Rattus norvegicus: one gene and its partners. The protein of the gene in region 1 interacts with the protein of each later gene in a biochemical or structural test. Links are inferred from orthologs where the notes say so. Each region holds a gene or a part of one and is shown in the gene's direction. Other genes may lie near its edges.

Evidence for each region.
Region 2: the proteins of Ppp1ca (region 1) and Rrp1b form a complex in vitro, tested with the Homo sapiens proteins (4 studies listed by BioGRID and IntAct, with this or other methods). The link is inferred for Rattus norvegicus from reciprocal best matches to the Homo sapiens genes PPP1CA and RRP1B.
Region 3: the proteins of Ppp1ca (region 1) and Ppp1r10 form a complex in vitro, tested with the Homo sapiens proteins (2 studies listed by BioGRID). The link is inferred for Rattus norvegicus from reciprocal best matches to the Homo sapiens genes PPP1CA and PPP1R10.
Region 4: the proteins of Ppp1ca (region 1) and Sfi1 form a complex in vitro, tested with the Homo sapiens proteins (2 studies listed by BioGRID and IntAct). The link is inferred for Rattus norvegicus from reciprocal best matches to the Homo sapiens genes PPP1CA and SFI1.
Region 5: the proteins of Ppp1ca (region 1) and Ppp1r15a are reported together in a solved structure, tested with the Homo sapiens proteins (2 studies listed by BioGRID and IntAct, with this or other methods). The link is inferred for Rattus norvegicus from reciprocal best matches to the Homo sapiens genes PPP1CA and PPP1R15A.
Region 6: the proteins of Ppp1ca (region 1) and Mphosph10 form a complex in vitro, tested with the Homo sapiens proteins (2 studies listed by BioGRID and IntAct). The link is inferred for Rattus norvegicus from reciprocal best matches to the Homo sapiens genes PPP1CA and MPHOSPH10.

Annotation. Positions count from the first base shown.
Region 1 is NC_086019.1:210,912,645-210,917,757, forward strand, and holds the start of Ppp1ca (serine/threonine-protein phosphatase PP1-alpha catalytic subunit), read left to right. Parts: upstream 1-1,931; 5' UTR 1,932-1,999; coding exon 2,000-2,054; intron 2,055-2,512; coding exon 2,513-2,644; intron 2,645-2,776; coding exon 2,777-3,007; intron 3,008-3,511; coding exon 3,512-3,616; intron 3,617-4,567; coding exon 4,568-4,791; intron 4,792-4,872; coding exon 4,873-5,007; intron 5,008-5,107; coding exon 5,108-5,113. Other genes in the region: Tbc1d10c (carabin), read right to left, coding at 392-543. UniProt on the Homo sapiens protein: Protein phosphatase that associates with over 200 regulatory proteins to form highly specific holoenzymes which dephosphorylate hundreds of biological targets.
Region 2 is NC_086038.1:10,121,197-10,126,368, forward strand, and holds the start of Rrp1b (ribosomal RNA processing 1B), read left to right. Parts: upstream 1-1,628; 5' UTR 1,629-1,684; coding exon 1,685-1,814; intron 1,815-5,172. UniProt on the Homo sapiens protein: Positively regulates DNA damage-induced apoptosis by acting as a transcriptional coactivator of proapoptotic target genes of the transcriptional activator E2F1.
Region 3 is NC_086038.1:2,838,824-2,844,074, reverse strand, and holds the start of Ppp1r10 (serine/threonine-protein phosphatase 1 regulatory subunit 10), read left to right. Parts: upstream 1-1,656; 5' UTR 1,657-1,683; intron 1,684-1,885; 5' UTR 1,886-2,403; intron 2,404-4,157; exon of another isoform or gene 4,158-4,449; intron 4,450-5,251. Other genes in the region: Mrps18b (28S ribosomal protein S18b, mitochondrial), read right to left, coding at 967-1,050.
Region 4 is NC_086032.1:82,269,655-82,275,004, reverse strand, and holds the start of Sfi1 (protein SFI1 homolog), read left to right. Parts: upstream 1-2,293; 5' UTR 2,294-2,332; intron 2,333-3,464; exon of another isoform or gene 3,465-3,520; intron 3,521-5,350. UniProt on the Homo sapiens protein: Plays a role in the dynamic structure of centrosome-associated contractile fibers via its interaction with CETN2.
Region 5 is NC_086019.1:105,136,084-105,141,350, reverse strand, and holds Ppp1r15a (protein phosphatase 1 regulatory subunit 15A), read left to right. Parts: upstream 1-1,754; 5' UTR 1,755-1,970; intron 1,971-2,574; 5' UTR 2,575-2,583; coding exon 2,584-3,969; intron 3,970-4,412; coding exon 4,413-4,763; 3' UTR 4,764-4,830; downstream 4,831-5,267. Other genes in the region: Tulp2 (tubby-related protein 2), read right to left, coding at 5,254-5,261. UniProt on the Homo sapiens protein: Recruits the serine/threonine-protein phosphatase PPP1CA to prevents excessive phosphorylation of the translation initiation factor eIF-2A/EIF2S1, thereby reversing the shut-off of protein synthesis initiated by stress-inducible kinases and facilitating recovery of cells from stress.
Region 6 is NC_086019.1:127,362,319-127,366,630, reverse strand, and holds part of Mphosph10 (U3 small nucleolar ribonucleoprotein protein MPP10), read left to right. Parts: coding exon 1-138; intron 139-1,936; coding exon 1,937-2,047; intron 2,048-4,312. UniProt on the Homo sapiens protein: Component of the 60-80S U3 small nucleolar ribonucleoprotein (U3 snoRNP). Required for the early cleavages during pre-18S ribosomal RNA processing. Part of the small subunit (SSU) processome, first precursor of the small eukaryotic ribosomal subunit.

The DNA of each region.
Region 1 (5,113 bases):
CCTGAGTTTGAATCTGCTTCTGTTTCTGATCTGCTATGTGATGTGTCAAGTTTCTGTCTGAATCTGATTAACTGTATTAGGTAAACCTGGAGAAGAGAATGAAAGACATCCGAATTCCCATCTGGAGTTCTTGGGCCAGAGATGAAAAGGGAAAAGATGTTCAGTTTGAAGAGAAAGTGCAGACCCTCGGGGGATAATAGAGATGTAAAAGACCTTCCCTCCACCACCCTTCTTACCTTAATCCCACATGGAACCTGAGGAGTGACACTGGAATGTCACAGCTGAGTTCTGGGCTGGTGTCTACAGCAAGACCCTAGAGGCCAGGCCTGATTCCAGAACTCAGTCCTCAGCCTCTGTCCCCTACCATCTCCCCTACCCATGCCTCACTTACCCCAGCTCAGCTGAGTTGCCCCCAATGAAGCCATATCGGTCAGCCTGACGATATGGGCTGGACCCACTGATCTCTGAGTCGGACCCTAGAGAGCTAGAATCATCCTGTAGTTCTGACGGTAGCAACAAGTCCTCTCCCAGGGCCTGGGCCATTCTGCCCTAGACCCCAGTGTCACAGGCTGCAAGACATATAGAGAGCCAGTGTGAACAGCCAGACTGAGGCTGGGGTTCCAGGAACCAGTCCTCAGTCACGGGGGAGTCAGGTAGTCCCTGAGGTACCACAAAGACCAAGTCTCTGTGTAGAGACCCACCCCAGGCCTGGCCCCTAGCCCAGCTCACCTCCTTGCTGCACCTCACCTCCTCCTCTCACTTCCTCCTCAGTCTCAGCTTCAGCAGCCTATTGGGGGCCCCTCCCTGGTGGGGGGACTCCCCCCTTCCTCTATGAGGTTCTTCCTGCTTGCCTTAGTGCCTGAGCCACGGACTCCTCCCATCACGGATGGGAGGTGTGAAGAGTCCCCGACTTGCCCAAGTTGAAGATGACAGGCCACTATCGGTTTTGAGGTTACTTGCGTGTAAAACCAACTCATGGTTCCAGTAATAATTATGCTTTAATGTCGTCCCACCACTCCAACCCACTGTCCTGGGTTTTCTTTTTTGAGAGTGAAAGGGTACAGTCTGGGAACAAGGGTCTCACGTAGCCCAGGCAGGAGATGAACTCACTATGTAGTTGAGCATGACCCTGAACTTCTGATCCTCCTGTGTCCAGACTCCTGAGTGCTGGAATTTCAGGCACTGGAATTACAGGTTTATGATACATTGGGTTCTTTAATGTGTTACTGTTTAAAAATAATACCTTTCCCCCCTTTTCTTTCTTTACTTTCCTTCCAGAGCCGGAGATAAAACCTCAGGCCTTGCACATGCTAGACAAGTCCAAGCATTCTACAAAGGACTTACAACAGGAAGGAGATAAAATAGTATTACATCACTTAACGAAAAAAAAAACCTGACGTAGCAGGCACCAAGGCAACCTGGACCAAAACATTGCTTCGAGTTCAGTAGCAGGTGTTCATGGGTCTGGCCATAAAGACCGAGGTGAATGTGAGGCTCTGGAGGTTTGGAGCTCACTCTCAGTGTCATTGAGCCTTAGTTCCTTTTTCTGCACTTCGAGGAATTACTTTACAGTGTTTGAGAAGTCAGCGATTAACATGCTCACACCACAATCCCACGCAGGGCTGGGGTGGGAAGAGACTTGGAAAGAGAAAAACAATTTCTACAGTACTTCCGGTTCTAACTCATCAGAACGCAGCAGGGCGATTCCTCCTGGGTGGAGCCGACCCAACTCCGCCCTACAAACCCCGCCCTCCACCCCTGCCAGGCCTCGCCCGGCCGCCCGAGGCCCTCCCCGGCTGCAGTGCTTCCGGTCCAGGGGAGGCGCTAGAGAGCAGGGAACTACGGACGCGGCAGGGCGGGGCGGCCGGCCGAAGAGGCGGGGCGGCGGGCCGAGGGCGGGCTGGGGAGGGCGGAAGGAGAGCCAGGCCGGAAGGAGGCTGCAAGAGGGCGGGAGGCAGGAGAGGGCCCGGAGCTGGTGGGCCGGAGCGGCGGCGCCGCCATGTCCGACAGCGAGAAGCTCAACCTGGATTCCATCATCGGGCGCCTGCTGGAAGGTGGGTAGGGGTAGGGAAGGTGCGCGCGCGCCGAGCCTGGGCCCATCGCCGTCCGGAAGTAGAGCGCGGGCGGGCCCGCCGCTCTCGGGGGCTAGCGTCGCTTGGGCGGGGACAGGCCGTGAGGTTCTATGGCCACGGCAGCCCTCCCTACTCCCTGCGCCTAGGCTTTGGAGCGCGCTCCGAGGCCGGGGACGCTTGAGTGGCCGAGACTCAGGGTGAGACTCCTGCGAAGCTAGCTGGGAAGGGGTTCTGAGGCGAGGAAGCTTCGGTTGACAGGCTGCTGAGCACAGGCGTGTCTCTGGAGGGCCTCCGGGTGGCTAAGGGGTCGTATCTTGCCTTTGAAGGCCTGATGCAAAGGTTTCAGCGGGGGCTCCCTTGCAACAGTTGCTGGTGTTGGGGAGGGGCGCATGACATTCGGTCTGCGAGGTCAGGGTCCCAAGACCCTATTCCGTACCCAGTGCAGGGCTCACGGCCTGGAAAGAATGTGCAGCTGACAGAGAACGAGATCCGTGGTCTTTGCCTCAAATCCCGGGAGATTTTCCTGAGCCAGCCTATTCTTCTGGAGCTTGAGGCGCCTCTCAAGATCTGTGGTAAGCCCTTGCTCAGAACCCCTTAGCTTCCTCAAAATAGCCCCTTACTCCTGCCCCAGTACCTGTGTTTCCGTTGCTGGCCCTGGGTTCAAGTTTACATCTTGGACCTACCTAGTCTTCTCTGGTTCCCAGGTGACATCCATGGCCAGTACTATGACCTTCTACGGCTGTTCGAGTATGGTGGCTTCCCTCCAGAGAGCAACTACCTCTTCTTGGGGGACTATGTGGATCGGGGAAAGCAGTCTTTGGAGACCATCTGCTTGTTGCTGGCCTATAAGATCAAATACCCGGAGAATTTCTTTCTACTACGTGGGAACCATGAGTGTGCCAGCATCAACCGCATCTATGGCTTCTATGATGAATGTGAGTGCTTTGAATGTTGCTGGTTGCCCAGAACTACATTTCCTGCACTTCATGGGCCCCCTAAATTGTTCTAGTGCTGAGAACCCTGATGATGGGTCCTGCAAAGCCCCAACCAAGCTGTCTGTTATCCATGGCACCAAGGAAGGGCCTGGTGAATGGATGTACATGCAGGGCTGCCCGTTTGCTAAAGCTTCCTCCACAGCCCTGCCCGATGACACTTCCCTCTATTGCATCCCTTACTAAGCATTTAGGGTGCATGTTATGAATAAACCAGACACTGAGGTTAGGCCAGACTGGAGTTCAGGTTCTTGTGGACCCAGGTGTTGGAATTCTGGAAGGTAGATGAGGGCAGAGCAAGGAAACTGTAATAAGCTTTCTTTGCCTTCTAGTCTTTGCACTTTGTCAGAGTAACCCACAAAGTACCCTGGAGGAGTGCACAGAAAACTATAGACTGGGTTTTGTGTGGTGGGTGGTCTTCCCTACGAGCCATTTTCTTCTGTGCAGGCAAGAGACGATACAACATCAAACTGTGGAAGACTTTCACCGACTGCTTCAACTGCCTGCCCATTGCAGCCATTGTAGATGAGAAGATCTTCTGCTGCCACGGAGGTCAGGATGGTTGTGGGGTCTGTGCTTGGGCTATATCCTTAGGGGCCTTGGAAAGTTAACAGAACTCTCCTGTTTCCTGGAGTAGCTCTCCTTGAATTTGGCTGTCACTTATTACAGGTCACCCACAGCCCAGTTTGTTTTTGAGACAGGGTTTTTCTGTGTTCTGGAACTCACAAGAGTTCTGGTTATCTCTGCCTTCCAAGTGATGGGACTAAAGGCCTGCACCACCTCACCTGGCTACACACCCCAGTTCGACTGCGCTTTCCTGTTGTGGTATTTAGCATGCTATAGGCAACTCATTCATCTCCTTCCCCCACGGAGGTCTACTCTTTTTTTTTTTTTTAAATATTTATTTTATTTATTATATATGAGTACACTGTAGCTGTCTTCAGATACACCAGATCTCTTTATAGATGGTTGTGAGCCACCATGTGGTTGCTGGGAATTGAACTCATGACCTCTGGAAGAGCAGTCGGGTGCTCTTAACCGCTGAGCCATCTCTCCAGCCCGTACTCTTTGTACTTCTAAAAGCTGAGGGATGGCCAGGTGGCGGTGGCATACAAAGGGAGTTCCCTGGGTTGGGGATTTAGCTCAGTGGTAGAGTGCTTGCCTAGCAAGCACAAGGCCCTAGGTTCGGTCCCCAGCTCCGGGAAAAAAAAATGTTAATACATAAAATATCCAATAAAAAAAAAACTGAAAAAACATATTCCTAAAAAAAAAAAAACAAAAACAAAAACAAAAAAAACAAAGGGAGTTCCCAGACAGCCAAGGCCACATAGAGAAATGGGGCCAGCAGGAATATAATGAACTCTGTTTCCCTAAACTTAAGGAGCCCAAAAGATGAACCCAGCGTTGGTGGGGAAAGTGGAGCTGACCCCTGAGACCTTTCTGGGCATGGGATAGTACCTGCTTTTCGGTGTAAGGAACACTATTCTCACTCTACCACCCCAGGCCTGTCTCCAGACTTGCAATCCATGGAGCAGATTAGACGTATTATGCGGCCCACGGACGTGCCTGACCAGGGCCTGTTGTGTGATCTGCTGTGGTCTGACCCTGACAAGGATGTTCAAGGCTGGGGCGAGAATGACCGTGGAGTCTCCTTTACCTTTGGGGCCGAGGTTGTAGCCAAGTTCCTGCACAAGCATGATTTGGACCTCATCTGCAGAGCACATCAGGTGGGCTAGTGGCCTGGGGCAGGCTGTGGGGATGGCTAGCTGCTTAACTTAAGAGACCAAATGGTTCCTGTCCTTGCCCAGGTTGTAGAAGATGGCTATGAGTTCTTTGCCAAGAGGCAGCTGGTGACACTCTTCTCAGCTCCCAACTACTGTGGCGAGTTTGACAACGCTGGCGCCATGATGAGTGTGGACGAGACACTCATGTGTTCCTTCCAGGTGGGTGTGGGAAGAGATCCTTATGCGCTCCTCCCAGGTGGGTGTGGGGAAGAGGCTGCCTGGCTCAGTGCCAGGACCTGATCAGGGTTCTCTCTTTCAGATCCTC
Region 2 (5,172 bases), on another chromosome or scaffold:
ACGGAGAGGATGCTAGAACCAAACCTACAAACTGAAAAACCGCACAGGGAGAACCTCGTCGTCCCTTGGCCAAGTGCTTCTGTGTTAAGGGATGCATTTTCGCATGCACAGAAGAGTTATTTTAGCTAGGTAACTGAGGTTTGAAACTAGATGTAGTGGTACATGCCTATGTCCCAGCACTTGGGTGGTGGACGCTGGAGTTCAAGACCAACTTGCTACACAGCAAGGGAAATCTAGCCTGGGCTACATGGGTGGGGGAGCGGGGTTCAAAATGAAATAACTAAAGCTTGGAAGAATATACTAATCTAATAATTCTCAAATGTTTGATGACCTAGAGTTTTGGATGTCCCTAAAGTAAGCATAACTGTTAAAAGACTTCTTTCATATTGGTTTAGTGTGTTCCCTGCTCGTTCTGGTTTTGTCAACTTGACACAAGTTAAAGCCATGAGAGGAGGGAATCTCAATAAAAAAAAAAAAAAGTCTCTATAAAATCAGATTGTAGGCAGACCTGTAAGGCATTTTCTTAGTTAATGATTGATGGGGAAGGACCCCACCTGTTGTAGGTAGAGTCAGCCCTGGGCTGGTGGTCCTGGGTTCTATAAGAAAGCAGGCTGACCAAAGAGCAAGGCCGTAAGCAACATCCCTCCATGGCTTCTGCATCAGCTCCCGCCTCCAGGTTCCTGTCTTCTTTGAGGTCCTGTTTGAGATCTGGTCCTGGCTTCCTTTCATGGTGAACAGTAATACGGAAATGGGAGTCCTCCCCAGCTTGCTTTTTGATCCTGGTGTTTCACTGTAGCAATACTCACTACCTACTGCTCAGAACTGTGTGTTTTGAATGCAAGAGGTCTTAAAGACAGAGCCAAGCTCCCTCCCTGTTAGACCCTCAAAATTTTTCCCTCTCCAATGGACATCCCTGCGTCTGACCCAGTCGTTGTGGGTATGGGTTTGCTGACTCCCCATTCAACAAGTTTGCACCCGTCCCAAGATGCGACAGGGAGGCTTGCTCGCTGCAGGAACGGATTGTTCACTACACCGCACCTCTGTAAGTGCCCTTGTTGCTTCAGGGACGGGTTTCTCTCTCTTCTCCAAATCCCGAACCTGTCCTAGAACGCTGCAAGGGTCTCCTCGCCCCCTCTGCACTCGTCCCAGCACATTGGAAGAGGGCCCATTCCCTCTATAATGCTGCGTGCCTGCATCAAGACTCAAGGCACTGTCCTGAGGGGAACGGGGCGCTGAAGGGTGGGAGAGTGGAAGTTGTCCCTGTGCTGTTGTAAGCCTCGGGATGCCAGGATAATGGCCTTCCTTCTGGGTCTCAAGTCTGCTCAGGGAAGCCCGCGGAGTTCACAGACACCGGGTGAATGGAGGTGGCAGGACCGCCGCTTCCCTGACAGACCTTTGTTAGCTGTGGTTAGACTCTAGAACTGCATCAGGTTAGCCGTAGTCGTCCTGCCGGAGGAGATCTGACCCTAACTACCCGCCCAGAACTTGGACCACCCACAGGATATACTTCAGTAGCGGGGCTACGTATCTACTCGCACAGGGGCCACGCGGACTCCCTGGGCGCGCGGCAAGCGGCGCACCGGTGACGCCATCACCCACGCGCCGCGGCGCCTGCGCAGGCGCAATCCAGATCGCTCGGCGGCTAGCCGCACGCGCGCAGCCCGGGGATGCTGAAGCGGGTGCGATGGCTCCCGCCATGCAGTCTACCGAGCTCCAGTTCGCACAGCGGCTGGCCTCCAGTGAGAAGGGCGTCCGCGACCGCGCCGTGAGGAAACTGCGGCAGTATCTCAGCGCAAGGACGCAGAGCGACACAGGTGCGGGCCTGGGTCCGCGCCGCTGCGCGCGGCGAGGGTCGCGCCAGTGGGCACGGGTGCGGCTGCTACGGGCTGTGCGGCAGAGCTCCTGACCGCTAGTCCCAGCTCACCGCTGGCCCAGTTCGCCGAGGCTCGTTTGTGTTTCTTGTTTGTGTTCCATGGATAGTACCTGTAGGCGCTGGGGTGCGTTAGAGAGTTAGCCCTGAGAAGAACTCTGGCAGTGTGGTGGTAGAACTGATGGCAGTGTAGTGGAGCACGTGTGAATGCGGGAATGTATATCAGTAGCGTGGAAAAGTGCAGGAGAAAGTCCTTCTAAAGGAAGCCACCTGTGCTCTGTTGAGATTTTGACAGGAGGAAGCCAGGCAGGCAGACGCAAGAACGCTAAGTGTGCCCTGAGCCAGAGAAATCTATCTGTAAGTTGGCGCGCAGGGCGTGTTGAGATAAAATTGAACCTGGGGGCAATGTGGTCACTTCGCTGGCTTTGGGGAAAGGGAGGGGAGGTTGGATTTTAACTGCCGTGGAATGCATTGCAAAGATTTATTTTAAGTGACCCAGAATAGATTCTGTTAACTCCTGAATGAATTCGCAAAGTCTAGACTGCAGCATACTGTGAAGGTTTCAGGTTGCAGCCAGTTGGCTAAAGTTTGAGTTACGGGTTGCTAAATCTGATTAAAATTGAAGTCTGGGGGGCCTGAGAGATTGCTCAGCCGTTCAAGTCCCAGTACCCACATGGCAGCTCAGAACCCTTTTCCTGGAAAGGAGTCACCCCCTCTGACCTCTACCAACACCAGGCATGCACGTGGTGCATAAACATAGAAGCAGGCAAACCTCCCACTAAACTACCTACTTACTCATACCTAAACTAAATCTTTTTTTTTAAATGGTTTTTGATTGAAATCAGTCCCAGGTGGCAGTACATACCATTAATTCCAGCATCGTGAGGCTAAGGGCAGCCAGGGTCACAGAGCAAGCAAGACCTTATTGCCAAGAAAGGAGACTTTTTGAGACGTCTGATAAAAACTAAAAGTTTTTTTTTTTTTTCTGGGGCTGGGGACCGAGCCCAGGACCTTGCGCTTCCTAGGTAAGCGCTCTACCACTGAGCCAAATCCCCAACCCCAAGTTTTTAAGTTCCAAAAGTTATGTTTCCACTGTGGAATCCAGAGGTCAGATTTAGGTAGTGAGGTTTACCGAGCTGAGCCGCCTTGGCAGCTGCATTTCCCATCCCCACCCCCACCCCAGCCCTGTTAAGGATTGCCCCAGAAATTCAGTTTCCTCTCATATTGTCAATTTTCCTATATACGTGTGCTGGTGGTCCCTAAACCTAACTTACTGGCCCAGGTGGACCTTGGCTATCCTCCGCTCAGATTAGTGTCACTAGCCTGGTACTCCACCTGGCTGTCCCATGAGTGCCTCAGTACCAACAATGGCATCTGCTCCTCCCTCCAAACACCTGTTCTCTCCTGCTGCTCCTCCTCCTCAGCTGCTCATTCTTCCCACATTTTCTCACCACCATCTTACATACACACACACACACACACACACACACACACACACACACACACTATCCTTCTGTCCTTCTCAGTTAACTTGAATTACTCTGCCTTAACCAGAAGTTCCTTTATTTTACCTAGATTTCTGGTCCATCCGTTCCCTTAACTCTGTTGTGCCTTTTGTTTACTTGGGTCCCCCCCACCCCCCGCCGCCGCCGCCCCGACCCGACCCCAGACAGGGTCTCTCTGTATCCCTGGCTTTCCTGGAACTCACTCTCTAGACCAGGCTGGCCTCGAACTCAGATTGCCTGCCAAGTGCTGGGCTTAAAGTTGTGAGCCCCCATTGCCTGGTTTGTTTGGTTTTGGTTTTTTGAGACAGGATTTCTCAGTGTTATAGCTCTGGTTGTTCTGGAGACCAAGCTGGCCTCAAACTCTCAGAGGTCCACCTCCCTCTGTCTCCTGAGTGCTGGGGTTAAAGGCATTTGCCCCAGGCTTCCATTGTGCCTCTTTAGTCTGCCCTCCACAAACAGCCCAGGTCATTTTCTTAAAGCAAATCTCATCTTCCCACTGCTTCCCTTGAAGGCCACAGTCTGACAGACCTGGTGTCCTCACCTGCTCTTCTAATTCCTCAGTAGTCCGTTAAACCCCTGTGGCTGAGCACACCACTCACACTCTTCTTGCCTCCTCCCCCCTTGCATTCAGGCTTGTTCTACAAAGAATTTTGCCCTAGCAGTATCACTTCTGAGAGAAATCCTCCTTTATGATCTCTCCCACCACCCTGTCACCCCTAAAATTATAAAATCTGTGCCCCTCTGATAGTGCTTAGATACAGAGGGAAGGAAAAGCTATTTGTTCTGAGAAAGGATTTCCCAGAGCCAGGAGTGGTCTCTACTAGCTATACTGAGAACGGATGACCTTGTCCTCAGCTATGTGCAGATAGCTTTGTTTGTATGAACTCTGTGGTTTGTATCCTTTCCCCCACAGGCACTGTAAGCTTCCCTTTGTCCTCTAAGCCATAGGTGAAAATATGGAGCCTTAGGAGAGCCTTCAGGAGACAAAAGCAAAGTACAGTACACCTGGACTGGAGACAGCCTGAGAGCATGCTTCTCAGAACCCTTTGAGAACAGCCCCCCCACCCCCGTCCCAAAAAAAAAGAGAACAGGCCCAATACCCCAGGGTACTTCCTGATGACTTATCTTTTTCCCCTATTCATCATCGTGGCCAGTTTGTGGGATATCGTAGGCCTTCAGAAAAATAAAATAACTGTGGACTGTAGAGGGACTGGAGAGATGGCTCAGCAGGTTAGAACATTCGCTCCTGCAGAGAATTGGCATTCCATTCCTGGCACCCGTGTGGTGGCTCATAACCATCCATTACTCTAGTGTCAGAGCCTCTGACACGGTCTTCTAACCTCAACAGTCTACAGTCACCACAGACACACATGGTGTACATGTGAAATAAGTATGCGTGAAATAAATGAAAAATAACTGCGGGGCTAGGAAAATGGCTCCCTCGGTAACATGCTTGTCATGTACCCGTGAGGACCTGAGTTCAGGCGTTTACTCATGAAAGCCAGTGTAAATCCTGGGGTAGCCAGATTGATACGATAATCTGTCTCAGAAAATTAGCTGGAGAGCTAGGGAAGAAAATACCTAGCACCGACTTCCAACCTATACATGTGTGCCATGCAAATAAGTAAAAACTGCAGGGTAAATGTCTTAATGATCATGGCCCAACGGGGCTGCAGAGAAGGAGCACTGGCTGCTCTTCCAGACCTGGGTTCAATTCCCAGCAACCACACACAGCTGCCAGTTTCAAGAGACCCAACACCCTCACACATACATACGTGCAGTCAAACACCAATGCAC
Region 3 (5,251 bases), on another chromosome or scaffold:
TTGTTAGTGGGATGTAACGATTTAAAAACCTTGGCATACTAAGATCTGAGCTTGCTTGAGCATTAGTTGGTTCTACTGGGAAAAAATATGTCCAAACCTTTGGAAGTAAGATTCATGGGGAGCAGGGGTGATTCAAATCGATGAGAAAAATCCAAAGTCACTTCGGTGACCAGTTTCATAAAATGCTGCGTCAACATTCCACAGGGCAAAACAAATGTGAGTGCTAACGCTAGCTTTAAAGCCACCAAGCCTGTCATTACTTCGGTGGTAACCTCTGTCACCACTCTGTAGTCCCATTTTAGGGAGTGGCGTCCGGACAAGCCTTCCTATTTCTCCCTGCCCTGCCAAGAACCTCCAGGGTGGTGAGTACCTCAGGCTAAAGGGCAATCTCAATCTAGAGAGCAGAATTAGACTCTCACGCATGCTCTGATAAGAAAATGATGTGTGAAAAGGTGGAGTAGGAGTGGTGTATCTTGCTTTTAATTCCATAACCTGGGAACCAGAGGTAGAAAGCTCAGGGAGCACCTATGAGATCAACCTAGACTGTCTCCGGAACAACGGGGGGGAAAATCTTAAAATAGGCCCTTTGCTACAAAAACACTTTCTGGGTACCACTTCAGGTACTAACGATCTAGTTATGAATTGCTCATTTCCACTGGGGTAACCCCACCACCTAGTTCTTTTTCCTAATGGTAGTCGGGGGGAGACGATGACACGTAACCCTGGTTCTGACCCGAACGCTCAGTATTTAGAAATCGCGCGCCGTGGGCTGGAGAGATGGCTCAGCCGTTAAAGGCTAGGCTCACAACCAAAAATATAAGAAATCGCGCGCCGTGGGAACAGAGGGTGGTGCAGATCTAACACGTAAACATATGGGAAGACCCGTGCCCCTTAACTCATCGTAATGCAGCAAAGGTTGAAAGTATCGACACCACCGGTCGGCAGAGAAATTCCTCCACGTTTTACCTGAGCTACATAGGAACTTCGTAAGAGTGAAGGATACAGCCTTAGCAGCGTGTGCCGCAAGGAGGCAGCCATCTTGTCGCACATCCAACGTACGGCCTGCCGGAAGAACGACTGCGCATGCGCCGGACAAGGACTAGGGCGGGGCCAAGGACCTGCCCCGCAAGGCGGAAGGCGGCAGCTCACGTGCCTAAGGACGGAAGCGTCAAAGGGCGGGGTCCGCGGAGGGACGCGAATTTAAACTGCGTCACAATCGAACTAGCGTTCAAAATTGCATTTCTCCCGGACCAGTCACGATGGCTCATAAATTCCATGGTTAGTGTTTAACACGAAAGCAATTTTGATTGCGATTTTGACTAAGGTGCTCCCAGTGCGCATGCGTACGGTCGTTTCGACCAACCGAGGGTGAGACACGTTTGCCCGGGCGGAAGTGTTGGGGGCAGAGGAAGGGGAGGTGCCGGACACGGCGATCACGCGCTGGCTCCGAGGTGATCCGAAGGAGACGGAAGAGGGGATTAAGGGAAGGGACTCCAGGAAAGTGGAGGAGGGACGTCCAATCCGCGGGCGACCCGGCTTTTACTGTGGCCAATCAGCGTTCCCCTCGCGCACAATGTGTCACGACGAGGGCGGTTCTCCATCACGTTAGGGTGCGTTGGGCGGTGGCCGGGTATAAAAGACTCCGCCCGAGCGGGCGGCCGCCATTCTGGGGTTCGTTTAGAGGTAAGTTTGGGTGCTCCGTCGCTTTGAGGGTAACGTTTTGCCGAGAGCGGTTGGCCGGGGAAGTGGGGTGTTTTTTGGATTTACTGGGCAGCCGCATTTTTACCTAATGCGGCTGCATCCTGGGACAACAAGGAATTTTGAAACGTTTAAAGGCGACCCGTACTGATGACATCTTTCTCCTTTTGTGTTCCTTTTACCCCAGGTTGAATTTTCTCGGAGAAAGACAGGCCGGCCATCAGGAAAACAAACAAGCCTCAGCAACATCTAAACCCTTGAAAGGATCCTGAGAGAGGGGGGAAAGGGAAAACAGCAGCCACCAGCCCAACCACTTGTGTCTTCTGCCCCTCCCCACCTATCTTGCCCACCCCACCAGCCCACGCTGCTTGGGACTTGAAATCTGTGGCCGAAGGACCGTCACCACATAACTTCAAAAATAATCAACCACCCTCCCTACCCAAACCCACCCAATCTCACTCATCCAGCATTTCCTTTTTGGAGTCCACTCAGAATTTTTTTCAACGACCCCCTCTCCCTAATGGAGTTGGGTGGGGGGAAAATGAAAACTGAGTTGGTCTTTACTTTTTTAAGAGACTTTTTGATCCAATGAGGCCCCACAAGTAACTGAGTTTGGGTCCTGGTTGGTTGTTTTATTTTTTTTCCTCCAAAATTTTACCCCTCCCCCCTGAGCCCGAGGTGCTGACGTCGCAAAAAAATTGGATAGTAAGTGTCGAATTTTCAAAAACCAGCCTTGAACAAGAAATCAACGTTTCCCGTTGTGAAACCAAAAATAATGAGAGGAAGAAATGAGACCATAGAACAAACGTAGAGTACTGGAGAAGGACCAATCGGGTCTCTTAAATCTCCATTAAAGGTCCTGTGGGTCTAAACAGTCTTTGTTCTCTCTCCCCTACCACCTGCCTCTTCCCTGCTGTGGAGCAGGCAAGGAGAGGGTGAAGGGAGGGCCAGCCAGTGAGGATTTTGACGGTTAACCCTTGATAATCCAGCAAATTTCCAGACTGCCAAAGCATAAGCCTTTGCTATTATAAGGAGGAATGGTTACCTTCCTCTGGTTAGCAGTCTTCAAAAGGGTTAATGAGCTCACATACAAAAGATGGTGGATCTTGTGGCCCAGAAGTCCCACTTCTTTGTGTGTGAGACAAGCAGAACGCCTTTCAATTTGCCAGATTAATAAGCAATCTGTACATAAAGATTGCAGGGTAAGGAGATGGGCAGAGAGAAATATTAGCTGGCTATGTCTTTAAAGTGATTGTTAAATCCTCTCAGTTTTAATGTAATTTGCTTGGGATATATTGTGTGGTTAAAATAGGTGGCAATCTAGGAATAAAGATTGCAAGACACTTAAATTTAGGGCAAAATATAATCATAGTAACAAGTACATACAATATAACATTTGGGGAGGTAAAGAATGTCTTGTGATTGTTTCAGCTTGCATAGGTTATTTAAAGGCAAAATGATTAACATTTTAACTTGATACTTTTTAGTGGGTGGTGGATACAGCTAAGAGGGTGGAAAGGTTGGGAAATGTGGAACTCAGGAAGATAACTTTAAAAGCCATTAGTGCATTTGAATGCTATCTTTTCTAGAAGATTTGTGTCGTTAAAAGAACTTTTTTCTTCCCTGCTTCAAATATGGCGACTTTTCCTTGTCCTTTTGTCTTGCAAGCGGCGTTGCAGGTTGTGTCTTGACCCATTTTTCTCCTGTGTCCCCCCCCACCTCAGTCCTATTTGTTGAGGGGTCCAAATCCTCCTCCTTGCCCTTTATAGGGAGGATTGGGGTGGTCGGTGTAGTAGCAAATTGAATTTGAGGTGCAAATTCATATTCTTAACCCGCAAGAAATTGTATATTAATTGGTTTTATTTTCAGTAGTAGGCTCTTAGACTTAATTAAGATAGGTCAAGTTGAGGGTGGTGGCCGGGGGGATGACTTCTGGTTTACTTAGTGCCTTATAGTGTAAGTAAAGCTGCCGGCAGATCTGGCCGCCGGCTTTTAAGTTTTGAATCCTCTCCATAACAAAATGGCGTCCCTCCTTTGTTTTTCTCTTTTGCCAGTCAGCTTAGGGCTTCCCTAGAAGCTTGGTCAAGGGGGAGGAGCCACTATGAAAGGTGATGTAATCAGCTTGCTTCCTCTCTGAAAACTCCACCCCCAAGCAGATGCCTTCTCTCCCCTTGCAGATTGCTGCTGGGGAGAATAGTTTTTTTCTTGTTTTCTTTTATCTTTTATGAAATATCTTACAGGGATAAAAGCTTAATGAACACTAGGGAGGGAGGCTGTCCTTGTCCTTGTGTAGCTCTAGGTTTTGTGTTTAACAGTCCATTGCCTTGATTTTCACCTTCCTCTCATCACAACTGCTTGGACCTATTCCCTGCTTCAGTTGATAGGGGTGAAAACCAATCCAACCCCGACTGCTTTAGCTCTGAGAGACTGGGGCAAGACACAGGGCTTGTAACACGAGTAGACAATTGGGCCTGATGAGCTGCAGTGTGCCATGCTGCTCAGGATGGGTCCTTGTACTTCCTGAATATTGGTTGCTTTGTGTCAGTCTGGTGGGGAGGGTGGGTACTTGTAGGACTCTCTTGTAAACCATCCTTATTCTCACCTCTCAGTTTGGGGATAAACTTTGTGCTCAGTGCCATCACCTGCAGTTGCTTAGTTCCTGTATGTTGGCACTAGGATGAGAAGTGAATCTTTAGGAAAGGAGGCTGCAGTTGTAAACTCGAGGCAGGGGGAGTCAAGCTACGGTTTCTGGTAAGCAAAACATTTCTGGTATTACATTTCACAACCTTTCTTTTTCCCAAAGAGTCACCTTTTTGAATTTCTTTTTCCTTGCTTCCTAAAAAGAAATTCCATTAAAGCGTTGAGGAGAGGAATGTCCTCTTCCTCCCTGCTGAGTGCTGGGGCAGTTGGTGCATGTTGAGAGCCACGCCCGTGAGGGCAGTACTGGGCGCCTGGTTCCTTAGCTCTTCCCCAACTTTTTCAAAGTCAAGTCTTTGACATTTTCTTCATATACTTTTCATTTTTTATTTAAAGTCCTGCGTTGAAGTGTGGAGTTTCTAGGCAGTTTGTAAGCCTTTTGTCCTGCTGTCCTATAGTGACTTGGGTGCAACAGGGCTAATTTTCTGCTGGGTGTGGATTCTCATTGCTTGGACTTCTGATTGAATGGGAGGGCCTCTTCCACATGTCTATTTACCACACGTCTTTTTTATCTTTTAAGCAGTTTGCCAGGTACCTCTGCAGCACACCTACCTTGGGACCTGAATGTTCCATCCACTGGGGTTCCTGATCTCTAGTGAGCAGGGGATTAGTAAAGAAGGCCTTATGTGGGAGATGAAAAACAAGGCCTTCTAGGGAACCTTGGAGAATCTGATTCTTACAGAGCTGCCAGCTTTCTAGGAACAGGGTGGTGAATGTAATTTTGTATCTTTATTAAAAGCCAAACACTCTTCCTAAGGAGTTTAAGAGATTTTCAAAATAAAGGTGAGGCAAGAGTAGGGCCTCATTATGCAAGGATATAGAACCTTGAGAACCACCTGAGACAGTTCACCCACTG
Region 4 (5,350 bases), on another chromosome or scaffold:
ATAACCACAGCACTGAGGGGCGGGGTTAGGTGGTGGTGGTGGTGGTGGGAGTTGAGTCCCCTGAAACCACAATCTTGACTCCTCTGAGGCAACAGACAATCTTGCAAGTCTGTTCCTGGATAGAAACAGAAAACTAAAGTTTCCTTTGTCCTTTCATCAGGGCCTCTAAGGACGTCTTGGGTAGGTCTGTCTCTCCAGAGTCATCATAGCAATAGGAAAGTAGCCCACCCTATTATTTTTCTTCCTAGTAGGACGGATTTTCCTGTATCTCACACGGAAATACTGCTGATCTCTTATCTCAGTTTGTCAGAGCTGAGGCTGATGAATGCATACAGTGCGAAGACAGCATCTGCAAATCAGTTGAAATCCAGAGAGTGTGCTTAGGGTGGAGAGAGTGCTCAGCACTGACTGCCCTTGTGGTGACTCAGGCTTGATTCTCAGCAACTACAGGTCAGAATCACTTCTAACTCCAGCCCCAGGGGAGTCAATGCCTTGGGTTTCCAGGGCACCTGCACTCATAGTTACATTCCCCCACCAGACACGTGTACACATACACATAATTTCTTATCCCGGATATAGCAAACATATAATTTTGTGAAGCTACTTGTAAGACTAGTTTATAGTAAATTAAAAATAGTTCTAGGGGCTGGGGATTTAGCTCAGTGGTAGAGCGCTTACCTAGGAAGCGCAAGGCCCTGGGTTCGGTCCCCAGCTCCGAAAAAAAAGAACCAAAAAAAAAAAAAAATAGTTCTAGTATTTTGACTATGAAATTAATCTAAAAAAAAAAGAAATTAATCTAATTACCTTAGCAATACTTGGAAGTTGTAGCTTCAGGTAAGAGTTATACCCCAAAGGTTGGTTTTCTCTATATACTTTATTTTGTATACTCTATAACTTTATTTTATTTATTTATTTATTTATTTATTTATTTATTTATTTATTTATTTTGGTTCTTCTGAGACAAGGTCTTGTTTTGTAGCATTGGCTAGCCTGGAATTCCCTATGCAGAGGACTAGCCTGAAACTTCATATTCACCTGCTTCTGCCTCTCCAGTATTGAGATTAAAGGTATGTGCCACCACACCTGACTCCAATAATTTTGTTGTTTTTTTGGTTTTGGAGACAGGGTTTCTCTGTAGCCCTGGCTATCCTGGAACTCACTCTGAGGAGCAGGAGAGCAGGCTAATCTTAAAGTCAACAGAGATTCACATGCCTCTGCAACGCCCCCACCCCCATCCCCCGCCATGCCTTTCTTTTGTTTTTGAGACAGTCTTTCCAAATTCTGACAGTGATCTTAAAATTAGTGATTTCCCCCCATGACTCAGCCTCCGGAGTAGCTAGTACAGGCATACACCAGCAGGCCAGATTTTTTTTTATTACCTTTATTTTTTGTGTGCATATCCATGGCTTGTTGCCAGAGGTCAAAGAATGACTTATGAGAGTGAGTCCTCTTTTGCCATAGGGATCCGAGAGACTGAGCTCAGGTCCTGTGCCTCAGAGACAGGTACCTTTACCTGCTGGGCCATCTTGTCATTTCAGCAGACTGGATTTAAACACTATTTCCTTGCCCATTCTGAGTCTCATTCCAGCCTAGGCAATACTAAAATTCATTCAATAGGCCAGTTGTCTTTAACCTGCAGGGATCCCCCTGCCTTAGCCTCCCACAGATGATTGCCATAAATGACTGCTTTTAAATCTTTGAATTACAAAATCACCCTTTGTAAAAGGACAAAACCCGTATTTCTTGGGCTTACTCTTTTTAAAATTTTGAGTATGAGTGTTTTGCCTGTACATAGGTCCAAAGAGAGCGCAACTTGGAGTCACAGCCGTTTAAGAGCCACCATGTGGGTATTGGGAGTCTGGATGAGTCAAAAGTGCTTTTAACTTCTGAGTCATATCTCTTGCCCCTTGGTTTTCGTCTTCAGACACCCACCCACTAGTTTTCACTGTTCTTAGAATGAAACTTCATATTTTTTTCTGGAAGCTGTGTTTTTAAAGATTCGGCTAATTGGCCTGTTTGATGCGGAGATTACCGACGTGCGCCACCACGCAATGAGGAGAGACACTTTTCGGTCTCACACCGGTCGGGTGCAGGAGTTGTAACTGGAGACACGCTTCCAAGAAGCGCCGATACTTCCGGCCAAGAAAACCGTAGGAAGCGGAGCCTCTGTTTCCCGGAAGGCAGCGCGCTCTAAACGCGACAGATCAGCTTCCGGCGCGGGCCGCGTTGCTGTGGAGATGGGGGCGGGGCCGCAGACGCAGGGCGCGAAACCCCAGACTGCGGGCCTTTGCTACAACCTCTCTGGGGTCTGCTGAGGAGTCACCTCTCTCAGGTACGAGGCTGGGCCCAGCGCCCGCAGCCTTTGACTGGCTCGTCCCCCTGCTCTGAAGCTGGCAGAGGGCGGGTGCCTTAGAGCTTTGTCCTGTGACGGCTCAGCCGGAGCTTCCGCTTTCTTCTGTAGACGTGCAGGAGATGCTGATTACCCAGAAGGCTCTGGTCCCTGTGTGGAAGTGCGAGCAGAGCGTGCGTAGGGTCGCTCACAGTCTTGGCTGTTTCTTCAGGGTCTATACGTCCTCCTCCCCCTGGTGGATAGCTCCCCTGGGTGATTCTCCCGCCTGTGCTATGCTTACTATCCTGCGCAGATGCACGTCCGATTAAGGGGTGTGGCGGGGCATAAGGCTCTTTGAGTACACTGATCTGTGACCAAGCAGAGAGCTGAACCCACGTTGCATTTGCACCATGAAACCTCTTCTTGTGTAGTTCCTGAAGGTGTATAGAGGTTTGAACGCTAGTGGAAGCTTTGCCACCTGTTAGCTGATGGCCTTGAGCATCAGCCTGGAAAATGACAAAAAGCACCAGCTGAGGTGGCTGTTGTCAAAGTGAGTCGTTCATGAAAAGTGTTTCGGAAAAACGCGTGGAACCTGTGCTATGTCCTCTTAATTGTAGTCCGCGAGCCTTAGATTTTGTAATTATCAAGTAATTTCAAATTATCGTGGTTTAAAAAGTTAATATTAAATATTTTTAAAGGAAAGATTGTGTATTAAAGGAGCCAGGGAGATGGCTCAATGCTTAAGAAACCCTTACTCCGGTTGGGGATTTAGTTCAGTGGTAGAGTGCTTGCCTAGCAAGCACAGGCCCTGGGTTCGGTCCCCAGGTCCGAAAAAAAAGAAAAAACAAACAAACAAACAAAAAAAACCCTCACTCCTTTTTGAGGGAATACCAGATGGAATCCCAGCATCCACATCTGTTGACTAACAACACACTTGTAATTACAGCTCATAAGTAGACTGCCTGTCTGGTGTCCTGGAGGCTTTGGACTCCATTTCTAGCATCTCTGTAGCACAAGGTAGCTCACACTAGCCTCATAACACAGACTAACTTCCAATTCATGATTATTTAAAGACATTTAAAAAAAAAGATTTATGTGTATGACTGTGTAACTTGTGCATGCCTGTTCCCCTCAGAGACCAAAATGGAGAGGTCAGAAGAGGGCATCGGATCCCCAGAACTGGAGTTACAGGTGATTGTGAGCCACTACTGGGTCCTGGGACTTGAATCTGGGTACTTTGGGAAAGCAGTCAACTGTTGCATTGTTCTCAACAGCTGAACCATCACTTCATCCCCCCATGCCCCAAACCCACAAAGATTTACTTTTATTATTTGCAGTTAGGTGTCCGTAGGGGTACACGTGCATTTGCGTACAGGGGCCCTTGGAGCCATGGGTGTTAGATCCCTTATTGGATCCCTTGGAACTGTAGTTACAGGTGGTTGTAAGCCATCCAATTGGGGTAGTAGGATATCATGTACTGTTAACTGCTGAGTTATTTCTCCAGTCCCGATCTCAGCTTTTCAAACTGTAGGTCATGACTCCATATGGAATGAGTCTTGAAAAATTTGACAAGAGTAAAGGCTTCCAAATATGTGGCCAAAACGAATTAAAAAATCAAATGTCATGAATCTGAGGTGTTTGGGCCATCACTCGTCCGTGCTGTGCCATGTGACCTTGTTTATGGTGTTCTTGCTTCTGGCACAAACGTGAAGTCTCAGTATGCAAGCAGTCACATCAGCACAGGGCAACAAACGAGGCTGTTCGTGATCAAGTTATGTACTGCAGTATTTTTCCCTTTTTTTTTAAAAGTTGGAAACTGTCTCTTTATGTAGCTTGCTTTATGTATTTATTTAGTCAAAGTTTCTCTGTGCTTCTTTAAAAATTCAAGCATTTAGAGGCTGAGGAAGGCAGATCTCTGTGTGTTTGAGGCCAGCCTGGTAAACAGAGTGAGTTCCAGGACAGTCAGAGCTACTTAGGGAGATCCTATCTCAACCATCAAAAACAAAACAAAGCACCAAGCATGCATACAGGACTGAAATCATAATATATGGACCCTTGTGACTGGCTTATTTTATTCTCTGTGATATTCTTGTGGCTAACCCATATTTAAGAATTTAGTATATACTATTGTATTTACTATTTTTTTCCTCAGGGTATCACTATGTAGCCCTGGCTGTCCTGGAATCACAGGGTGGTCTTGAGTTCACAGAGACTTGCCTGCCTCTGCCTCACACAAGCTAATGATGACGGTATGAGTCATCACGCTCTGCCCTGAACATTCTTGTATAAGCCTGTGTGTAGATGTAGTTTTCTTCAGTACGTATGTGACTAGTAGTGGAATTTCTGGGTCAGTTTGTTCTTTATTAAACCTCTTAGGAGGTCCATCCATGTATGCAACTGAAAGCCAGTGTCTAGCAAGCTTGGGGGTGTTTTGGGCTATCATTGTAATTAACATTCTATATATTTTCCTGGATGGTGGTAGTGCATGCCTTCAATCCCACCACATGGGAGGCAGAGGTAGGCAGATCCTTGAATTCAGTGCCAGCCTAGTCTACACAGTGAGTACCAAGACAGCCAAGGCTACACAAAGAAACCCTGTCTTGAAAAACCAAAATCAGAAAAAGAAAAGGAATAATAAAACCAAAACAGCCACAACAAAAACTTATGTCTATTTCAACCTAGAAGCTAATTTGTGCCCTTGTTGAGAGCAAACCCATCTCCTAACCTTTTAGTACATTTTAGTTTCCTCTGTGAGGTTCCGAAATTTGTTTGTTTTGAGGCAGGGCTTTGATATATAAGACCATGTTGGCTTCAAATTTGCAGTGATTTGTGGGTAGAGACATGGCTCAGCAGTTTACAACCCTTGTCGGGGACCCAGGTTTACCAACTAGCATGCACATGGTGCCCATAACTCCAGCTCCAAGGGATCTGAAACCCCCTTTTGACCTCGTGCATATGGCAAAGCACTCCTATACATACACAGAACATATAAATCTTTTCTTTTCTTTTCTTTTTTTAAGA
Region 5 (5,267 bases), about 110 Mb from region 1:
AGTTCCAGACACTCCTGGAAAAACAATACAGGTCCCTGACAAAAGAAAAAACAAAACAAAGGAAACAGAAACATGCGTTTTTAAAAAAGAAGGAGGAGACTCCATGAAGGCAGGCCTTGGGTGGGGTCACTGCTTCTCTGTACACAGGAGGAGAATTGCCCAAAGATTCTTTGGCCTTCTTCCCCTGTGAGTCCCCGGACAGTGTGGACTATACTGTAAGACCCTGCTCAATACAGACAGACTGGACAGGCATAGTGACACATGCCTTTAATCTCAGTACTCAGGAGGAAGTGGCAGGTGGACTTCTGTTCTTTGAGTTCAAGACCAGCGTGGACTACAGAGTGAGTTCCAGGACAGGCAGGGCTACACAGAAAAATCCTGTCTGAAAACAAAACAAAACCCAGACAGACACACCAAAAACAGCCAAGGGACCAGAGAGATGGGTCAGGGCCTAATCACTTGCTACTCTTTGCAGAGGACCCAAATTTAGTTCCTATAACCCTCCATGAGAAGCTTCACAATTGTCTCTAACTCCAATTCCACCCGTGTTCCGACCTCCATATGCACCAGACATGATATACTCACACATACGCACAAACACACACACACACACACACACACACACACACACACACACACACACACACACACGGAAAACATATAAAATAAAGATTTAAAAAATCTTTTTCTTTTGGCCGGGGTGTGTGGGAGAGCATCTGAGCCATCTCACCAGCCCAGGGTGCACGTCTTTTTCTTTTTTTCGGAGCTGGGGACCGAACCCAGAGCCTTGTGCTTGCTAGGCAAGTGCTCTACCACTGAGCTAAATCCCCAACCCCGGTGCACGTCTTTAATCCCAGAATCAGGAGGTAGAGGTAATGAGATCCCAGTGAGCCCAAGGTCAGCCGAGTCTACAAAGTGAGTTCCAGGACAGCCAGAACTAATCTTGGAAAAACAAACAAGGGCTGGTGAGGTGGTTCAGTAGTTAAGAACACTGGCTGCTCTTCCAGAGGTCCTGAGTTCATTCTCAGTAACCACATGGTGGGGATCTGATGCCCTGTTCTGGCATGCAGATATACATGCAGATAGTGCACTCCTACATTTAAAAAAAAAAAGACATAAATAATATTTTAAAACATTGGGTGTTTTGTCTTCTAATAAAACTTCACTGCTATCTTCTAATAAAAATTCACTGCTAGCCGCGGGGTGTGGTGGCCCCATACCTTTAATCCCAACACTTGAGAGGCAGAGGCAGGCGGACCTTTGAGTTTGAAGCTAGCCTGGTCTACAGAGTGAGTTCAAGATAGCCACGGATAGTCAGAAAGTCCTGTTTCGAACCTCTCCCCAACCAAATCACTCCTGTAATCCCAGCACTCTGGAGGCAGTAGCAGGTTAGTCCCTGCTTCTCAGAGAGAGGAGAGAGAGAGAGAGAGAGAGAGAGAGGAGACACACACACACAGAGACAGAGAGGGAGAGAGAAAGAGAAAGAGAATGGGACGGCATGTGACTGCCTGATGAAGTTGGCGTGCTTGCTCAAAAGTTCTGCGAGATTGACGGCTCTCTGGATTTGAGCCAAGGACACGCCTGGGAAGCCACGGTGACCTCACAAGGCCCGGAATCTCCGCGAGAATTTCAGTGTTGTTTTCCTCTCTCCACCTTTCTCAGGGACTTCCGAAACTCCGCCTCTCCGGTGACGTCAGCATAGCGCTGCGTCAGACTATAAACTCCCGGGTGATCGTGTTGGCGCAGATTGACTCAGTTCGCAGCTTGTGGAAGATTACATGCGAGACCCCGCGCGACTCCGCATCCCTTTGCCGGGACAGCCTTTGCGACAGCCCGTGAGACATCACGTCCCCGAGCCCCACGCCTGAGGGCGACATGAACGCGCTGGCCTTGAGAGCAATCCGGACCCACGACCGCTTTTGGCAAACCGAACCGGACCTCCAGCCCCCGGGGTGACGCGCAGCCCGCCGGTGAGTGGGGGATGGGGCGGCCTTTGGGGGAGTGCTGGGGAGGACTTTCTTCGGCGAGGAGGCTAGGAGAGTGTTGTGGGATCTGAGGGGCAGACTGGGGAGGAACCCAGATTTGAGGAAACGGCACTGAAAGCCGGATGCTTTATTTGGTCCGAGAGAGGAGAGCCCAGGTCTAGTCTCTACATTGAAGGGCAGGGGTCCTGAACTAGAACTGCAGTACTTGTACATTGCTAAATAAAGAGAGGGACTCCAGGAGGAGCAGCCTGGGTCTAAGAGGTAGGCAGGAGGAGGTTTTAGGGGCCTGAGCACAAGCTTGAGGAGAGAAAGGTTATTAAAAAGCCAGACGCTTACAGGTCTCAGAAGGGCTAGCCAGAAACTGTGGCTGGGGTTAAGGAAAGGGTTTAAGAGTGTGGGCTTTTGGTTCTGAGGATGTAGAACGTGAATGTTGAGAGAAGAACCAAGTGGCGGAGTTGGGTGTGAGCAATGCTATTAGGAATTTGAGGCAGGGATTCACGCGCTGCTGTGACTATTTTTTAACAATGACTCAGTGCTGTGACCTGATACTGTTTCCAGAGCGACTTCTAAACAAATTCCCCCTTTCTAGGCCAGACACATGGCCCCAAGCCCAAGACCCCAGCATGTCCTGCACTGGAAGGAAGCCCACTCTTTCTACCTCCTGTCTCCACTGATGGGCTTCCTCAGCCGGGCCTGGAGCCGCCTGAGGGGGCCCGAGGTCTCAGAGGCCTGGTTGGCAGAAACAGTAGCAGGAGCAAACCAGATAGAGGCTGATGCTCTGTTGACGCCTCCCCCGGTCTCTGAAAATCACCTACCTCTCCGAGAGACTGAAGGAAATGGAACTCCTGAATGGAGTAAAGCAGCCCAGAGGCTCTGCCTTGATGTGGAAGCCCAAAGTTCCCCTCCTAAAACTTGGGGACTTTCAGATATTGATGAACATAATGGGAAGCCAGGACAAGATGGCCTTAGAGAGCAAGAAGTGGAGCACACAGCTGGCCTGCCTACACTACAGCCCCTTCACCTGCAAGGGGCAGATAAGAAAGTTGGGGAGGTGGTGGCTAGAGAAGAGGGTGTGTCCGAGCTGGCTTATCCCACATCACACTGGGAGGGTGGTCCAGCTGAGGATGAAGAGGATACAGAAACCGTGAAGAAGGCTCACCAGGCCTCTGCTGCTTCCATAGCTCCAGGATATAAACCCAGCACTTCTGTGTATTGCCCAGGGGAGGCAGAACATCGAGCCACGGAGGAAAAAGGAACAGACAATAAGGCTGAACCCTCAGGCTCCCACTCCAGAGTCTGGGAGTACCACACTAGAGAGAGGCCTAAGCAGGAGGGAGAAACTAAGCCAGAGCAACACAGGGCAGGGCAGAGTCACCCTTGTCAGAATGCAGAGGCTGAGGAAGGAGGACCTGAGACTTCTGTCTGTTCTGGCAGTGCCTTCCTGAAGGCCTGGGTGTATCGCCCAGGAGAGGACACAGAGGAGGAAGAAGACAGTGATTTGGATTCAGCTGAGGAAGACACAGCTCATACCTGTACCACCCCCCATACAAGTGCCTTCCTGAAGGCCTGGGTCTATCGCCCAGGAGAGGACACAGAAGAGGAAGATGACGGTGATTGGGATTCAGCTGAGGAAGACACAGCTCAGAGCTGTACCACCCCCCATACAAGTGCCTTCCTGAAGGCCTGGGTCTATCGCCCAGGAGAGGACACAGAAGAGGAAGACGACAGTGAGAATGTGGCCCCAGTTGACTCAGAAACAGTTGACTCTTGCCAGAGTACCCAGCATTGTCTACCAGTAGAGAAGACCAAGGGATGTGGAGAAGCAGAGCCCCCTCCCTTCCAGGTGGCCTTCTATTTACCTGGACAGAAGCCAGCACCACCTTGGGCTGCCCCTAAGCTGCCCCTTCGACTGCAGAAGCGGCTCAGATCTTTCAAAGCCCCCGCCCGGAATCAGGACCCTGAGATTCCTCTGAAGGGTAGAAAGGTGAGTGCTAGCAGCTTAGATCCTAAAGTGGCTTACTTTGTGGCTAAGGAGTTTATAGTCCTAGTGCTGGGATTACAATAGGATTCATACTGCCCTTTTTTCTTAAATATATAATTTATTCAAAGGACCTAGATTCTGAGTCAGGAGGAGGAAGAGGAGTGGGGGGGTGTGGTCTGGAAAAATCCCTAAGGAAGTGTGCTGGGGGTGGAGACTCCAGGGAGCCATGTGTTGCAACTTGTTGCATAGGAACTCTGCCAGGAAGGCTGTGTTCACTCTCTTGCAATCTCCTGTAAGAGGGAGGAAGAATGATAGCTGTAGCTCATGTGGCCCTGAACATGTGTCTTGAGTGAGTCAGAGGGGCAGGCAGGCAGGTGACTATTAAAATACCAAGCACTTTTTGCGTGACAGATTTTTATTTCTTGCCGCTGTCCATCTGTCCCCAGGTGCACTTCTCTGAGAAAGTTACAGTCCATTTCCTTGCTGTCTGGGCAGGACCAGCCCAGGCTGCTCGTCGAGGCCCCTGGGAGCAGTTTGCACGAGATCGAAGCCGCTTTGCTCGACGCATTGCCCAGGCAGAGGAGCAGCTGGGTCCTTACCTTACCCCTGCTTTCAGGGCCAGAGCATGGACACGCCTTAGAAACCTACCCCTTCCTCTGTCGTCCTCGTCTCTTCCACTGCCTGAGCCTTGCTCTTCCACTGAGGCCACACCCCTCAGCCAAGATGTGACCACTCCCTCTCCCCTTCCCAGTGAAATCCCTCCTCCCAGCCTGGACTTGGGAGGAAGGCGGGGCTAAGCCTGAGTAGTTTTTTGTTATTTATTTATTTTAATACGAAATAAAGCCTTTTGATTTGTAGTGATAAGCTCTAAGTGTGTACTTATTGATAGCTTAAGGGAGGCTAAATATGTGTGTACTTATTGATAGCTTAAGGGAGGCTAAATATGAATTGTGTCCAAACACAAGTCACCACTGGGAAGCTGAGGCAGTAGGATTGACTTGAGTTCCAAGACAAGGATAACGTAAGGAGTAAGGCTGTCTCAAAAAATAAGAGGGACAAGGAAGGGTGTTAAATACAAGCAAGGTACAACGACGACATGTATGAAACTGTTATAACGAAGCCCATTATTTTGTACACTAACTAAAAAAATTAATCAAAAGATTTATTGTTAAAAGACAAGGCCAGGCACAAAGGTGCATGCTTGTCATCCCAGCACTTCAGAGAGCAGGAGGATCGGAGGTTCAAGGCAAGCCTCAGCTACATAGTTGTTGGAGACCAGACTGAGTATCAAAAAACTAAAA
Region 6 (4,312 bases), about 84 Mb from region 1:
GCTTGGGATGATGTAGAACGGAAAGAGAAACCTAAGGAGGATGCATATGAATATAAGAAGCGTTTGACGTTAGACCATGAGAAGAGCAAGCTAAGTCTTGCTGAGATTTATGAGCAGGAATATATCAAACTCAACCAGGTAAGGTGACATCAAGGTTGTGACACTAAAGGAGGATGAGTGTTCAGTCAGTCCTGAGCTAACCTAGCGCTCAGGTAGCTGTCTCCCAGCACGGATGGTGGGAAGACAGCCCATAATGTTCCCACTGAGTGTAGTCAACTACTGACGTCCCAGCAACTGCTTTGACATTTGAAATAATTGATGTAATTTATTTCTTTATGAAATGATCTCCCATAGGCTCTTTTTGTTTGTCTTGTTTTTTAAATTCTAAGATTAATTTCTAGTTGGATGGCGAGAAGACCATATCCTGGGGAAGACTTATTTCCTCACCTGGGTTTATTGGAATGAGTGCTAATGACATATGTTATCTGACTTGGGCCACAGGCAGAGCCAGTCACTTCTTACTCATGTGGGTGCCCCCCTCCCCACCTTCTGCACCTCTACTATATCTTAATTATGACAAATAGAAGCAAACAAATACCATCTTACCTTTCAGAGTATGTATTTGGTGCTAGGGGAAGAGCAAACATAAATAAAACAGCCTGACTCTAAACTCAAGTGACTGTCTTTTCCATATCAGTGTGAATAATCTGAGCAAACCTTGAACAAATTACATTCACAACACAAAATTAAACATTTTATTTTACCTAGACAGATTGTCAGACACTCCTAAAATGCTAGGACTCAGACTAAAATAAACATATTTTGTGATGGCGAGACTGTCTTGAAAAACCAAGAATAAGTAAATGAATAATTGGGAAGCACTTAGTGTAGTTTTAAGCAAGTGCCGCCTGTTTGTAGCTCCCCAGTCCTTGCTCAATAATCTACTGCTTCCTCTTCCCCCCCCTGCTGTTACACCCTAGTTCTGTGAATTTGCCTGTTGTGTAAATGAAGTCACGTAATTTGTGACTTTTATTTAGCATTATGTCTTTATGTTGGGCAGCATATATGAGCGCTTCATTTCTACTTTATTGCTGGATAGTGTTCCATTTATACATGGGCCACAGTTTCTTGATCCACTTTCCAGCTGAACATGTGGACTGTTCTCACCTTCTGGGTATAGGAAGTCCCACTCTTAAGTGTATGTGCACGTGTGCGTGCATGCGTGTATCTGCTTTAGTTTCCTTGGATCCATATCTAGGAGGGAAATGCTAAGTCTAACCTTCCGTGACCTGCTAAGCTTGCTGCCGCTATGGCTACATCGTTTCACTTTGCTACCAATAATTCCCAGGAATCCAATTTCTTCATCCTCACCAACATCCATTAATAGCCCTTAAACTTTGGTCCTACTTTGATTAGCTTACCTTTTGTTGGGAAATGCCATCGGCATTGTACTGTTTGTTCTAAATTTCAGAGGTAATGGGTACTAATGTGCACCCTTGTGGTCTTTGGTAGGCACTGGCACCATCATAGTGCTTATACCTGCAACTTTACTTTTGGGACATTTCTTCTTCTCTCCTACCTTTTACAAACAAGGTAACACTATGTAACCCAAGCTGATCTTGAACTTGTAGTACTCTGGCCTCCGTCTCCTGAGTGTTGGGAATTACTGTACCATCATCCCACAAAACCATTGTTTTTGCTTTTTATTTTGTTTGAGACAAGATCTCATTGTAGCCCTGTGTGACCCCAAACTCACAGAGATCTGCCTGCCTCTGCCTCTTGAGTGCAGAGATTAAAGGCGTGCGCCACCGGGATGGCTAGAGTTGCTGGGCGGTAAAGCTGTGGTTCTGAGAAACTGGGGCACCTTCACTGTCTGTACTGTTTTTTCTGTGGTACAGTTAAGCTACTTCATCTAACGTTGGCCTTGCTCATTTAGCAAAAAGCTGAAGAAGAAGACAATCCAGAGCATGTAGAAATTCAGAAGATGATGGATTCTCTCTTCCTAAAACTGGATGCCCTGTCAAACTTCCACTTCATCCCCAAACCGGTATGTGAATTTACAGTGTGGTAGAAAAAGTAGCACGTGTGAACTGAACAGCTCTGAGCTCTGGAGAGCTTCTTCTCAGTTGGTGTCAGGACACACAGCTGCAAGTTACAACAGGGCTTCTGTAAGGGACGGTCACTTTGTTCCTGGGTTAATTCTGCCTTCCATCCTGCTGCAGCCTGCTCTCCAGCAGGCCCCTGGTCACCTTTAGCCCTGAGCCTCACTGATTCCTCCTCTCCTGGCCCTCAGTTGTGCTTAATTGTGTGATGGTGTCTCCCTCACATTGATTGGTGGCCTCTGCAAGTCGTATTAGGTCCTGGGCTTACGTCACTTTCACTGCCCAAACACTCACTGTCTAACTATCCCTTTAGCAGATGAGCACACTGAATGTGGGAGGGGCAGAACTAGCACTGGGCTCTTGTGTTCTGCACTGCCTAATGTGCTCCAGCCAGTCCCAGACCTCTCAGTCTCCTTTCCAGCCTGAGCCTTTCCTGGGCTGGCTGAGATTCTGCTGACTCCTTGGAAGCCCATCTACTTGCAGCTGTCTGTAGTTCCCTGAGACGGGCTTGAACCATCATGTTGGTGCTTGCTCACAGGTTGCCCATTGCTGTCCTCTTGACTGTTATGAACTAAGGACTAGTCTAGATGCAAGCATGCAGAGGCCAGAGGGAAGCATCAGGTGTCTTCCTCTATTGCTCTCCAACCTATTTCTAAGACAAGACCTCTCCACAGAATTAGAAGGTCATTGTTCAGATAGACTAACTTGTCAGTGAGCTCCCAGGTTCTGCCTATGTCCTCTTCACCAGCGATGGACTTAGCAAGCCTGTGCGCATATTTTACATGGAGACTGGTGATTTGAATTCAGGTCAACTTGCTTTCATACCAGTCACCTGATCCCTGACCATTTCCGCAGCCCCTGCTTTGCCAAGGTCTAAAGGATTGTCAATGTTTCACACTTGAATCTAGGAATGCACCTGGCTGTTACAGGTCTTTTAATATTTTCGTTTTCATATGTGTGTCCATAGTTTACACACTGTCTCTGCAGACATGAACTGTTCACCAGCTGCCATGTTGTATTGTATTTTGAGATTTCCTCCCTATTTGTTTTTGACTGTAGGGGAGCACAGTATTTCTCATAATCTCTGGACAGTGGCCTGCTTGACAGGGATTGTTTTCACATTCCACAGTTCTTCTTGCTTAGGGTCTGGGCTCCTGTCCTCTTCTCATGTGGTTCTGCTCTTATGACATTTCCCCGAACAATGTCCTCTGTGCCTGGCTTAGACACTGGTATCTTGAAATGACAGTAGCTATACAGACCCATATACAGCCTCTCGAAAGATTGAGCATATTAACATTCCTTCATATACATTATGTTAGTTTTATAAATAGTTTTGTACCATTTCATGCTAATATATGAAGATAGATTTCTAGTAGCTTAAATAGTTTGTATTTTTCTCATAAGCATTTTTTGTATATCTCTGCAGAGAGCTTAGATTTGTTTCAAAACAAAAAGCCATGTGATAATTAATCACCAAGTTTTATTAAGTACATGGAATTGCTTGAGAATGCCCACATAGGTGGCATGGAGTACTGTTTTGCTGAGGTGGAGAGGTGTGGATATGTAGGTGTAAATGCTACTGGGATGGCTTTGATGTTGCCTGTTGTCAAGGTCATTCCAGTCAGCCCAGTGATGGATGGATGGATGGATGGATGGATGGATGGATGGATGGATGGATGGGTGGATGGATGGATGGATGGATTTATTTATTTTTAGTGTGTGATTTTAAAAAAATTCTCCTTCTCTCAGTTTACCACCCACCTCCCCTCGCTCGCCCCGAGATCCACCTCCTTTCCCATCTCCCTGATCCCAGGGATCTCAGCCCAACACAGCACTAGATGGAATAAAAGTAGTTACAGATCCTCACATAAGGCTGGGCGAGGCAACCCAGCAGGAGGAAAGCATCCTGAGAGCAGGTGAAGGAGTCAGTGATCAGGGACATTCCTGTCCCTCCTCACCCTCCCCCCTCCCAAAAAAAAAAAAAAAAACACCAAGCCAGCAACCCTAACATGTGCAGAAGAAGTCAACTCTATAAAAAAAAGTTTGTGAGGTTGGAGATTTAGCTCAGTGGTAGAGCACTTGCCTAGCAAGCGCAAGGCCCTGGGTTCGGTCCCCAACTCTGAAAAAAAAAAACAAAAACAAAAAAAAAAAGTTTGTGGCCAATGCTTGCCCCACTTCTTCTCCCCACTAAATGCCTTATCTCTTTTTTA